3 linked regions of the Pelodiscus sinensis genome follow. The protein of the gene in region 1 interacts with the protein of each later gene in a pairwise test. Links are inferred from orthologs where the notes say so. Each region holds a gene or a part of one and is shown on either strand. Other genes may lie near its edges. The genes, in order: RGS2, WDR74 and CTSB.

What was found.
Region 2: the proteins of RGS2 (region 1) and WDR74 interact in a two-hybrid assay, tested with the Homo sapiens proteins (2 studies listed by BioGRID and IntAct). The link is inferred for Pelodiscus sinensis from reciprocal best matches to the Homo sapiens genes RGS2 and WDR74.
Region 3: the proteins of RGS2 (region 1) and CTSB interact in a two-hybrid assay, tested with the Homo sapiens proteins (2 studies listed by BioGRID and IntAct). The link is inferred for Pelodiscus sinensis from reciprocal best matches to the Homo sapiens genes RGS2 and CTSB.

What each region holds. Positions count from the first base shown.
Region 1 is NC_134719.1:50,075,321-50,079,066, forward strand, and holds the start of RGS2 (regulator of G-protein signaling 2), read right to left. Parts: upstream 2,201-3,746; 5' UTR 2,092-2,200; coding exon 1,985-2,091; intron 704-1,984; coding exon 602-703; intron 489-601; coding exon 427-488; intron 1-426. UniProt on the Homo sapiens protein: Regulates G protein-coupled receptor signaling cascades. Inhibits signal transduction by increasing the GTPase activity of G protein alpha subunits, thereby driving them into their inactive GDP-bound form.
Region 2 is NC_134721.1:36,469,505-36,473,250, forward strand, and holds the start of WDR74 (WD repeat-containing protein 74), read right to left. Parts: upstream 2,884-3,746; 5' UTR 2,786-2,883; coding exon 2,725-2,785; intron 2,648-2,724; coding exon 2,541-2,647; intron 2,452-2,540; coding exon 2,330-2,451; intron 1,663-2,329; coding exon 1,599-1,662; intron 1,346-1,598; coding exon 1,202-1,345; intron 861-1,201; coding exon 759-860; intron 1-758. UniProt on the Homo sapiens protein: Regulatory protein of the MTREX-exosome complex involved in the synthesis of the 60S ribosomal subunit. Participates in an early cleavage of the pre-rRNA processing pathway in cooperation with NVL.
Region 3 is NC_134713.1:2,338,975-2,342,720, reverse strand, and holds the start of CTSB (cathepsin B), read right to left. Parts: upstream 2,154-3,746; 5' UTR 2,001-2,153; intron 1,303-2,000; 5' UTR 1,194-1,302; intron 1-1,193. UniProt on the Homo sapiens protein: Thiol protease which is believed to participate in intracellular degradation and turnover of proteins. Cleaves matrix extracellular phosphoglycoprotein MEPE. Involved in the solubilization of cross-linked TG/thyroglobulin in the thyroid follicle lumen.

The sequences.
Region 1 (3,746 bases):
GCAATGGAAAGAGTGACTCAAAGTTCATTATCAGCAAATGCTAATATTTTTTTCTTAATCAGCAATTAAGTGGTTTTCTTTGCAGAGTGGCTATAAAACCCACAGAGCCTCAAGTCCACAGTGGCTTAATGTGAATATGTTTAATAGCACTAGAAGGAGGATTTGTCTTGGAGAGAATTATTAAGTGCAGAAAAATCTTTGATAAAGATTTTAGGAAGTGGGATTTTGGGTTGTTTAAAATAGAAGTGTTGGAGACCAATATCAAGGTGAATGCAGGAGGTTATTCAAAGGGTAATTTATAATACGGATGGAAAACCACTGTTTGTTCTTATCTGAGGTAGTGTTTATTATTACAAAAACCCACAAAGACCAAAACACCTTTATATTTTTACAGTGATTTGTTATTTTTTTTTCAGACTGACTTACATTTATTAGCTAGAAGTTCATCAAAAGCTTCTGACCAAAGCTGGGCTTCTTCAGGAGAAGGTCTATATAAAAGGATGGAGAGTATAGTTAGGTTGTTGAACAGCACATTTTTCTACTCCCTTGAATGCTAAAATATTTGAAATTCATTTGAGTGAAATCTGAATATTTAATTTACCTGATGTAAGAATGTTGCTTTCCTTTTTTGTTGGACTTGGTTTTTGTAGAAGTGGAAGAGTTTTGCAGGAAGTAGCTCAACCTTGTTTTCCAATCCTTAATGCTAGAGGAGAGAGGAAGAGAGGAAAATACATTAAAATGAGAGTTAACTGAAATTATACTTTCAGCTTTACACATTTTGACTAGAGATGGAACTGAGCCTGTAATCCATAAAGAGAATGAAAAATTGCTCTTGTAGTTGATGGTAGTTGTGCCTGCTTAATTGTGGGATCAACCCTCAACTCTTTAAGTTCTATTTCAAGAACATGGGATTCAATCTTTCTGTCTCAGACAACCGTAGTTTCCCCACTGCACTGATGGAGCACTTGAGATCACACAGCCACTGGAAAGTGACTAATTATAACTAAGGCATCTGTAACAGTTTCACAATCAGAGGTGTGCTGCTCTGACGAAGGACCTACGCTCTTCCCCTAAGGCCCAATCCTGTGGTCTGTCCTCAGTGGGTGTTTTAGCAGATTGAAAACTTGGGATGGGGGCCTCTGGTGCTCAGATATTTAACCCTCTTCATTTGGAGATTTAATCTCTTCTTGTTGGATTTTTGGAAGAGACAAAAACTGGATCTGCGAGATTTAAAAATGTCTTTTCAGTGCGGCAGCTAGTCTAGTTTAGGGCCATGTGGTGAATGTGGATCAGGTGAGACTAAACTCCACAAGAACTGCAGCACAATTGTCTCCATTAGCCTCTATGTGAAACTGGGAATTGAAGACTAATTTATCCCTTACATTTTAAATATCATGTCTTATCCAGGCAATGCAAACTGAATATTCATTATAGATCTAATAATGTAAGATATTCAAGATCTGTTTTTGCTTTGGCAAGAAGCAAACTCAGTTAAATTTTAAAAGTCAAATGACAGAACCATTTAAAGACACCAATCAAATGTAAAATTGCACAGCTAGCTGGGTAAATAATGAATGGGGGAAATATGTGCTTACATTTTCACCACACAAGCATAAACTGAAATAAACCATTTCTGCACAAACCCTACATTTTTTCTGAACTGACGATGACAGTTATATTTTTTATCAAATGATCAGTTCAACAAAAACAGGATTTTTTTTTCTCATGAGTGCTTTTGAAGTGGAGATATTTTGCCATTTTAAAAATCCAAGCTGACATCAAATACATAAATCAACCCATTCTTGCACTGCTTAGGTATTGCACCCAAAGTCATTTTTAAAAAGTCAGTGCTGTCAGATTCTTACCAAATAGTGTAAACATTTTCTCCTTACTGAGATGCAAGCTCCCTATTTTGAATCACTGTTCTGAAAGCCACAGGTAGCTATTTATATGAATTAAATCTGCTATAAATACATAAACTTACACAGTTCTCTTCATCTTTCCTTTCTTCTCCTCATTTTGACAGCTGCTGGGAGTTCTCTCCATTTGTCCACAGTTGTGCTGAAGAGCAAGGAAGATTGCACTTTGCATACTTCTTCTGTTTTATCCCAGGGTCTATCGCTGATCTGCAGCAGCACCCTTTTCTTCACTGAGAAGTTGAACGTGAAGAGAAAGGCAGCCTTTTTTTATAGAAGGCAGTAGGGGAAAGGGTTGGGTTTCGGTTACGCCTCCTGAGCACACTGATTTGCTTGTGGGAAGCACACCAAAGCACACTCCCATATCACGTCCTTAAAAGGCTCTTACTCTGAGTACAGTGCTGACGCAGTGTTCTCTTCTGTTTTATGCAGTCTCCACTTGCAAAAAAACCTGGTCTGGTTGCTGCAGATTCCAGCAAGATGGAGAATTTTTTTTATTTGTTGCCTGCTGCATGTGTCTTCACAAAGCTTGAGTGCCCTGCACATTTGAAGGCAGAAGTGCAGAATCACTTGTTGGTTTATAATCCAACATGGAAAGAAAAACAATAGGAATAGCGTTAAGGGTCCTAGCTGTGCTCTTTAAAAATTTACCCTTACCTCCTATCCTTCTAAAGGAAAATATACCTTGAATTTCTATTTGTGGATTAATATGTTAACAATATAATAATGCTAACAAAATAAGATGTGTTATTGCACTCTCCAGAATCTTCAAGTAATCTGGAATTGTCCCAACTGTTCTACAATTGATTTAAAAAATGCTAACTAAGATAAGCAATGTCTCATATTTCTCATCAGCTTATGTTTGTGTCTGGGAAGGAGAGGATATACCAGGATCACTGCTGAATCATCTGTATTCCTAACATTATTCAGTTGGAACTAAAAGATTACTGTACCCCTGATGCAAAAAGTTTTGCACTTGGAAATGTTTGTACAATTGGTATTTGTTCTCATGCTAATACTGCCTGGAAGTTCTTTATGGAATCCCAGTGGCTTGGCAGAGGTAGCGGCTAATTTTCTGTAGTACTGAGTGAAGGTTAGGTGACAGCGTTATGTTCAGTTCAACACATTAGAAATTCATTTTTAACAAGCCCATATGCTAAAACTGTTTTTGCTTTCCAAGAAGCCAGTTCTTTTGAGTTTGCATCTTATTAAAAGAATAGAGAAGGGTTCTAAGGCCTGGTTCAGATACCCTTACAAAAGAAAGATGTGAAAAGTTGGAGTGTACAATACATGGGAGATTTTATCTCAGTGATAACTTGAAATATTTTTTTCATACTCATAAGCATGACAAAACATATATGTGTAAGCCGTGCCTGCATACTGTGGCACTCTGTCCCCCACTAGTAGCGTCAAGGCCAACTACAGCTTGATGAGCCTGCTATAGCCTTGGCTCACAAACCTGGAATTTTTAGTTCACGCAGTAGAGGGCCAGGCTCTGGTATTAAGATCCAGAGGTCTCAGCTTCCACTAGCATAGGAATGAGTGCCATACATACATAGCAAGCCTTGCTTCCATATATTTTCGTAACTCAGCCATTTGCCAATAAATTGTGCATATTAGTGCTAGTGCATGTACTCATTTATCTGAATGCCTCTTCCTTTAGCTAAAATGTAAGCATGTATGTGGTACCTTCTGCACTGTGTTAAGCAGTAGAGGGTGTCCTGCTAGTATTTTTCCCCTCTACCAACATATAACACTTCTCAAATTGTAATGCTCCATACCTATGATTAATGCAGCATGCCTCCTGCCATCTATGATATTGTTTATGTC
Region 2 (3,746 bases), on another chromosome or scaffold:
GTGGGAAGGGGAGGCAAAGGGGCTCCCCCACCCCCAGACCAATCATGGTCTGGAAGTGAGGTAGTCCCATCCCTTCTCATTTAGGCCCCACCCCTTCCAGGGTGGCCCGGGGCTATTTCAAAATTTTTTGAAGTGGCCCTTGGGGCAAAAATTATTGCCCACCCCTGCCCAATCAGGTGAGCCGGGGGCACCAGAGGTTATTAGCTATCAGGTTACAAACCTTCCCATCACCTGAATATCCCTCCTTCCAGTACCCCTGCCCCTCCAATTTCTGCCCCTCGAACTAATCTGCCTCCCCTCCCTGCTCCCCCACCTTCTGCACCTCATGCCATGACCCCCCATCCACACCCCAATTCTGATTGCTCCAATTCTCTTCCTTCCATTCCCCCAATCATCCCGCCCCATCTGCCCAGCCCCCCTAACTCCTCCAGACCCCAATCCCACATCCTTCCATCCCCCTGCTCCACAACCCCATACCTATTTCTTTTCCCAACCATCATCCTGCACCTTCATTTCCCCATCATTTCAGGTCCCCCGCTTTCCAGTCCCTCTCATACACCAGTCTGCTCACCTCTCCCACTGCCTGCTCCCCAGACCCTGATCCCTTTCCCACCCCAACCCAGTTCACAAACTCATCACCTCCCAAGTTCCTCCACAGACCCAAATTCCCCTACCGATAGACTCCTCCAGACTCTAATCCTCCCTTCTGCACACCCCACTCCCTCCATTGCACCCCAATACAACCATCAGGCTCCTACCTGGTGATGCCCAGTGCAGGTGACAATCTTCTCAGAGCCAGGTAGAAACTGCAGGTCACGCTCCCAGACAGGAACCCGGAGACTGAGCCAGTCATTCCGCACCTGCAAAGAGGGCAAGTTGGGTGTAAGTGGAACCACAATGCCTATATTTGACTTGCTCTCAAATGTCCCAAGAAGGCGCTGGGCTATGAGCAAGGGCGGGAGATGAAATGCAAATCTTACCAGATTTGGGAAGGATGGAGAGATAAAGTGTACTGTAGGGCACAGATTCAGGACTGGGGAACAATGGGGGAGGGGTGAGAACAGATTCTCCCTCAAGAAACAGGATATAGACCTGTCTCCCCAGGAACAGCCAAGCCTGGGTATGGTTGGGGCTCTCTAGGCCAGAGGAAGCATGGCTAGAGCACAAGGAAGTAGGGTGTACATCTGAGGCAGACACTTACATTTTTAGCACGGAAGATGGGTTCCTCCGGCCGCTGCAGGTCCCAGACCTTCAGGGCATTTTCCTTCCCACCTGTCCCCACACGCTGCGGGTGAACCGGGTTTTGGCGCATACGGCACACCCCAGCTCCAACCTGTGTTTCTACCTAAACGGGGTAGCAATGAGGAAGGATTTATATTACTCCAAATGTGGCGATCCTGGCAGGACTGAGCTGCACTGCCCTATGACGAGAGGGAAGTGCAATCAGGAACTGTCCCCACACATCTTGACTCCCTTGGATTACTGTGCAAGGAAACAAGTGTTGGTGCTAATCCGACCTCGGATTCCTCCCTAACACAGCACCCACTGCCACCAACCCAGCATCCCTTGCCCTGCATCTTTCCCCATAAAAGTCTTACATTTTCAGATGAGGCATCTCTCCAGACCTTGAGGAGACCAGACTCCACACAGGTGATGAAGGAACTGCAGGTACCAGCCAAATGATGGTGGGAGAGGGAGAAAATCCAAGTAGTGACAGAAAGAAATAAAACATTGTCAATTTTCAACATAGGCCCAGGCCACACTCATTGCTATAATTAGGGGGCTAGACAGATGGTCCGACAAACTGTGAATTGGTGTCACAAAGGAAACTGAATTCCCTGGTGAAAAAAAATTAAAGAAATGCTTTTTCCCTTTTACAGGCATGTATTCCTGTGTGGGAGCAGGGCAGAGTAAATCTCTAATTGAGCCTTTCAACAGCAGCTGCTGTAAAACATGACAGCAGACTACATGTGTCCGTTTTGGTCTGTCCCAAAGGTAGATGTGTATATGCATATTGTGATGTGAGGGTCAATGGGCTCCAGGATCTATTTTGTGGGTGGCAGAGTGCAGGTGAATAACCTATTCCAAGAGATTGATGCATGACATTCAAGGTTATATCTGTGGGTCCGCAGAAAGGGAAGAGAGACTGGGGGATAGAGACTGAGTCCCAGAAGGGGAGGATTGTGAGAGATTTGGATTTAGATAGGACCAATATCAGGAAGGGATGGATACAATCTGGAGTTAAATGGGCCCACAGTTCTGATAAGGAACTGAAAACAGACACAGTGGAATAAGGGGGCAGCTGCTGGGTTCATGGTGCAAGACCCACTTGTCGTGCACTGCCAGACCGCAGAAGGCGCCTTCCCCGCCCAGACATTGCCGCGACTCTGTGAACTTCCCCTTCTCGGTGCTGAACAGCTTCACCGACCGGTCCAGGCAGCCGATGAGAATCTAGAGGAGGATGAGAAGGAGAAGTGTCAGGGGCGCCCCGGGCTGCTGCTGCTGCTCCTCCCCCCCCCCCCCCGCCACAAACCCCTCACCTCGGACTCGGATGGGTCCCCCCAGCACATGGCGCAGACTCCCTCTTCCCGGCTAAGCGCCGAAGCCGCCACATAATTAGTAGCCTGTCTCCGCCGCAGATTGACGCCTGGGAGAGAGACGGGACGTGGTCACAGCCGGGGACGGGACAAGCTCCCGCCCCATCACGCCCTCTCCCCCCGATACCTTTCAGGATCCCGGTCTCGGATCCGACCCACACGTGATTCCACCGCGCAGGAGACGCCATTTTGCCCCGGTGCCTCGCTCTATCCGCTCCGGCTCGCACCCTCCAGCCAGTTCTGGTGCGCCGGCGTGGGCGAGAAAAGATCGGAAGTGGTGCGAGGCCGGCCCTCTTACAGAGACACGCCAAAAGCCGGATGTTGGTTAGCCTGTCAGGTCAGGCCGAAGCCGCTTCCGGTTCGTCGTGTCACACCGAACCCTTTCCTTCCCTAGTCCCATTTGGAACGTTCCCCTCTCCCCACAGATTTCGACTGCTGCCAGAGCAGATGCTGTGAGCTCTTCGCCCCTCCCCTCAGTGGGGAGCCATATTCCCTCTACTTTTTCGTGTCAGTTTGCAGAATAAATTTTATGTGCACTAAGGCATGCATGGAGGTGCACCACCATATAAACACATGCTGTTAGCCCTGGGTGCTCTGTTAATCAGCTGGGCAGCACCTGAATCTCTCCTGGGCAGCTGCCCAAGTGCTTAGCTTACAGGGAACACTACTAGAGAGAGATCCCCATCTCTGTCCCCACAGCAGCAGGAGGATCATCATGGTAAGGGACCAGACCAGGGGCTGAGGCCAGAGTTGGGCTGGGGGAACTCCCATTCACATGACAGTCACAGCTCAAAGTAATAGTCGTGAAAGATGCTTAGTGACAAGGAGCAGTAAGTTGCAATGACACATCCCAATCAGGAACCCTGGTCATGGGCACAGCTGAGAATTTGAAAACAGAGAGCAGAAAGAGCCCATTACAAGTCACTGGTTTTGTTGGCTGTTTATAGTCTAACCTCATCAAGGTAGGGACTGGCTCTTGCTGTACATCTGCCCAGAGGATTCAGTCTCTGCAAAGCCTAATCAGAGAGAGGCCCTAATCTTGGGATCTATGCACCACCACACACAAGGGGACCCTGATTTCACTTGAAACACAAGACAGAACTATGTAGCACTTGAAAGACTAACAAGATGGTTTATTAGGTGATGAGC
Region 3 (3,746 bases), on another chromosome or scaffold:
ACCGGGTTTTACTGCACCAGACTGGAAAGTGGACTTCCACCCTGCTTTACAAGCAGCACTGATATTTAGCAACGGGGGAGACGGGCAGTTCGGTCAGGCTGCTAGATTTGGATACGGGACAAGGAGCAGAAGGTCAAGTGACCACACACAAGAGGGGACTTTGGTTTGGAAGCAGCACCCTCCTGGGCGAGGCTAGCAGAGCCCCGCCCGGCAGAAGCAGGTTCAGCTACCATGGGAACCACTCTCCTCAGGTTCCTTCCAAAAGGACAGCTTCGCGTGTGAGCACCAAAAGGAGCGGGTTGCATTTATAAGCAAGGCGCTCGGCCAGTATCAACCTCAGCAAAAACAATCAGGTACAGCTCTTATGATTTTTTTACTAATACCAAATGTTCCTTTTTACAGGGTAAGATTTTCAGAAGCCACACTAGAGGGGGGGGATTCATTGCTGGAGTTTCACTCTGGAAGTTTCTGCTGCTGCAGTTTTGGGTTTAGTTTATTGATCTTTCCACCATCTTGCTGCCAGAAAACAACACTCAAAACAGAGGAATCTAACTGAAGGCCACCGAATTAAAAAAAAAAAACCCATAAATTCCGCTCCCTACATTTCCTCTTCCTTGGGCTGCCCAGTTTGCAAATTTAGGAGGCATCCGAACTTACTCCCTGCCCATCCACAACCTAGTCACATGGCGCTGGTCCCTCCAGAATCAGAATTCATAACACACATCACACGGTGTCCCTGCAAGCTCGGGATGTGGCCAAGGTCCCCCTCCCCTGCAAGGTTTTTAGATGTCACACTCCCATTGAAATTAATGCAAATTTGGAGCCAAAATTCCTGTGAGGAGGTGGGCTGAGATGCTGGATCCCCTAGAAGAGCACTGCAGCTACTCGGTAACTCCGAGAAGCAGGCTCAAAGGGACAGGCCCAAGGTCACCCCAGACGTGCCCAGCAGAGATAAGAATTTGACTCCTATATCCAGAATTTCAGTTCTACAAGCCCATGAGGCTGCAGTTCGCTGGCAGGACACAGAATTGCTTTTTGGCCGAGAGCTGCTCCTAAAAACCCCCGGAAAACCCTGCCACAGGCCAACACCGAACTCGCGAGGGGAATGACTTTGTGCGGCACGTCCCCAGCCACCCATCAAGCCTGCTGTGAGAAAGTCGCCTCCCGTAACCACAACACAGGCTGGGCCGTACCTCTGAGCTCAGCGCCGGGAAGCGGTTATGCAGGCTCCGGAGCAGAGGGGCGACTCCAGCGCCGCAGACACTGCCTGGACACCGGCGGGGATCCGGATTCGCAGATCAGCTGGAAAAAGGAAGAGGTGGTGAGAGGCCAGGCCTGCGCCAACCCCCCCCCCCCTCGCATTTCCTGGCAGGGGGGGGGGGGGGCACAATCTGAGCCGACTTCCCCAGGCTCTGGGCTTTTCCCACCTGGGAGAGGGAGGGACAGGAGAGGGGTTTTCCCCACCCCTCCGCCACTTCCAAACATCTCCCCCCCCCCCCCGCCCCAGCAGCTCTCTCCTGCCCCCTCCCCCACTGGGTCTCCCCCCCAACCCCATCCCCCACGGCCAGCCCAGGAACCCCACAGCCCCCCGCTCGGCCCCAGATCCCCCAGGGCCCCCCTTCTGCCCCAGCTCCCCCCCCCAGGGCCCCCCTTCTGCCCCAGCGCCCCCCCCAGGGCCCCCCTTCTGCCCCAGCGCCCCCCCCAGGGCCCCCCTTCTGCCCCAGCGCCCCCCAGAGCCCCCCCTTCTGCCCCAGCGCCCCCCCAGGGCCCCCCTTCTGCCCCAGCGCCCCCCAGAGCCCCCCTTCTGCCCCAGCGCCCCCCCAGGGCCCCCCTTCTGCCCCAGCTCGGCCCCCCCAGGACCCCCCCTTCTGCCCCAGCGCCCCCCCAGGGCCCCCCTTCTGCCCCAGCTCGGCCCCCCCAGAGCCCCCCCCTTCTGCCCCAGCGCCCCCCCCAGAGCCCCCCCTTCTGCCCCAGCTCCCCGGTGACCGGCCGCCCCTCACCCGATCCGAGCCCCTCGCTCCGCCGCCCCGCGCCGCCGCCCGGCTCCTTATGAGCCGCCCCGCCCGGCGCTGACTCAGCCCCGACTCCTCCCGCTGCAGCAGCGCCTGACCCCGCAGCAGGCTCGGTCATGTGATTGCCCCCCCCCGCCGAGTCATGTGACCGTACCCCCCCCCCCCCCCCCGCGAGTCATATGACGGCGGCCACTGCCCGAGCTCTGCGGGGCGCGTCAGCTGCCAGCTGCCCTAAGGCTGCATCCCTGCACCCCCCCCCGGGGCCCCGCAATGGTGCGTCCCTGCACCCCCCCCAGACTCCGCAATGGTGTGTCCCTGCACCCCCCCGCGGGCCCCGCAATGGTGCGTCCCTGTACCCCCCCAGGGCCCCGCAATGGTGCGTCCCTGCACCCCCCCCCGGGGCCCCGCAATGGTGCGTCCCTGCACCCCCCCAGACTCCGCAATGGTGCGTCCCTGCACCCCCCCAGACTCCGCAATGATGCGTCCCTGTACCCCCCCAGGGCCCCGCAATGGTGCGTCCCTGCACCCCCCCCCCCCGGGGCCCCGCAATGGTGCGTCCCTGCACCCCCCCCCGGGGCCCCGCAATGGTGCGTCCCTGCACCCCCCCCCCCGGGGCCCCGCAATGGTGCGTCCCTGCACCCCCCCAGACTCCGCAATGGTGCGTCCCTGCACCCCCCCCCCCGGGGCCCCGCAATGGTGCGTCCCTGCACCCCCCCCGGGGCCCCGCAATGGTGTGTCCCTGCACCCCCCACTACCCCCCCTCTAGGCCCTGCAATGGTGCATCCCAGCTACCCCCCCCCCACCTGCCCCCTCTCCAAGCCCCGCAGCGGGCCTGGCTGTGGTTGATGCAGTGCCCCCGCTGTTACCCCATTTCCCAGGCCCCCGCCTTGCCTTTGCCCCAGGCCAGGAGCAAGTTCCCATTGAGTCTTGCAGCCCTGGGTCCCCACCGCAGCCCATCTCCCCTGCCTGCCCCCCAGGCCAGAGCCGGCCCCGGCTTGCATGCCCTGAGACAGTCCCGAGCACAGCCGGGCATCTGACAGTCACTGATGCGGTGGGTCGCCTGGGGCGTTGCCACATCGCGCAGTGTTGGGCCGGCCTTCGGCAACTCGCCCCCGGTACGCTCGGATGTTGGTGCCCTGACTCCTGGGGGTGCAGCGATGCCCCTGTACCCTAGCCCCATTGGTACCCTCCACTGGCTCTGGCTCCTACGGGCAGCCCACCTCCCTTGGCCCCCTGAACTCCTGGATGGTGCCCTGTTGGCCCCAACCCCTGCTCTGTGGCCCTTTCAACCCTAACTCCAGCACCTCCTTCCTGTTATCAGATTTGCCCAATACTCTGGGGTATGCTCATTTATCAGGGATACCCTTATGGGACTGGGGGAAGGTTAACAGTTCTATCAGTGTGCTGTTGGTGCTTACTTGGGCTCTCATATGGAGCTGAATTCTCCCTGCTGCCAATTCCCCCTCCCACTGGAGCTCTCCTGCAGGAACTAGGTTCCTCAGGACGGGGTTCTTCCCACCTTGGCAACACACACAGACACTCACACACACTAGTCAGAGCACGTCTGAGAGGACTGGGTACTCAGCACTCACAAGCTGACCCCCTCATATGTCCCTGGACTCAGCTGGCTGGGTTTCACAGCAATGCCACACTGCACCCTCATGTGCCTTTGGACTCCGTGGGCTGGATTAAACAGCACTTTAAGCTGCCATCCTCATAAGCCCCCAGGTTCAG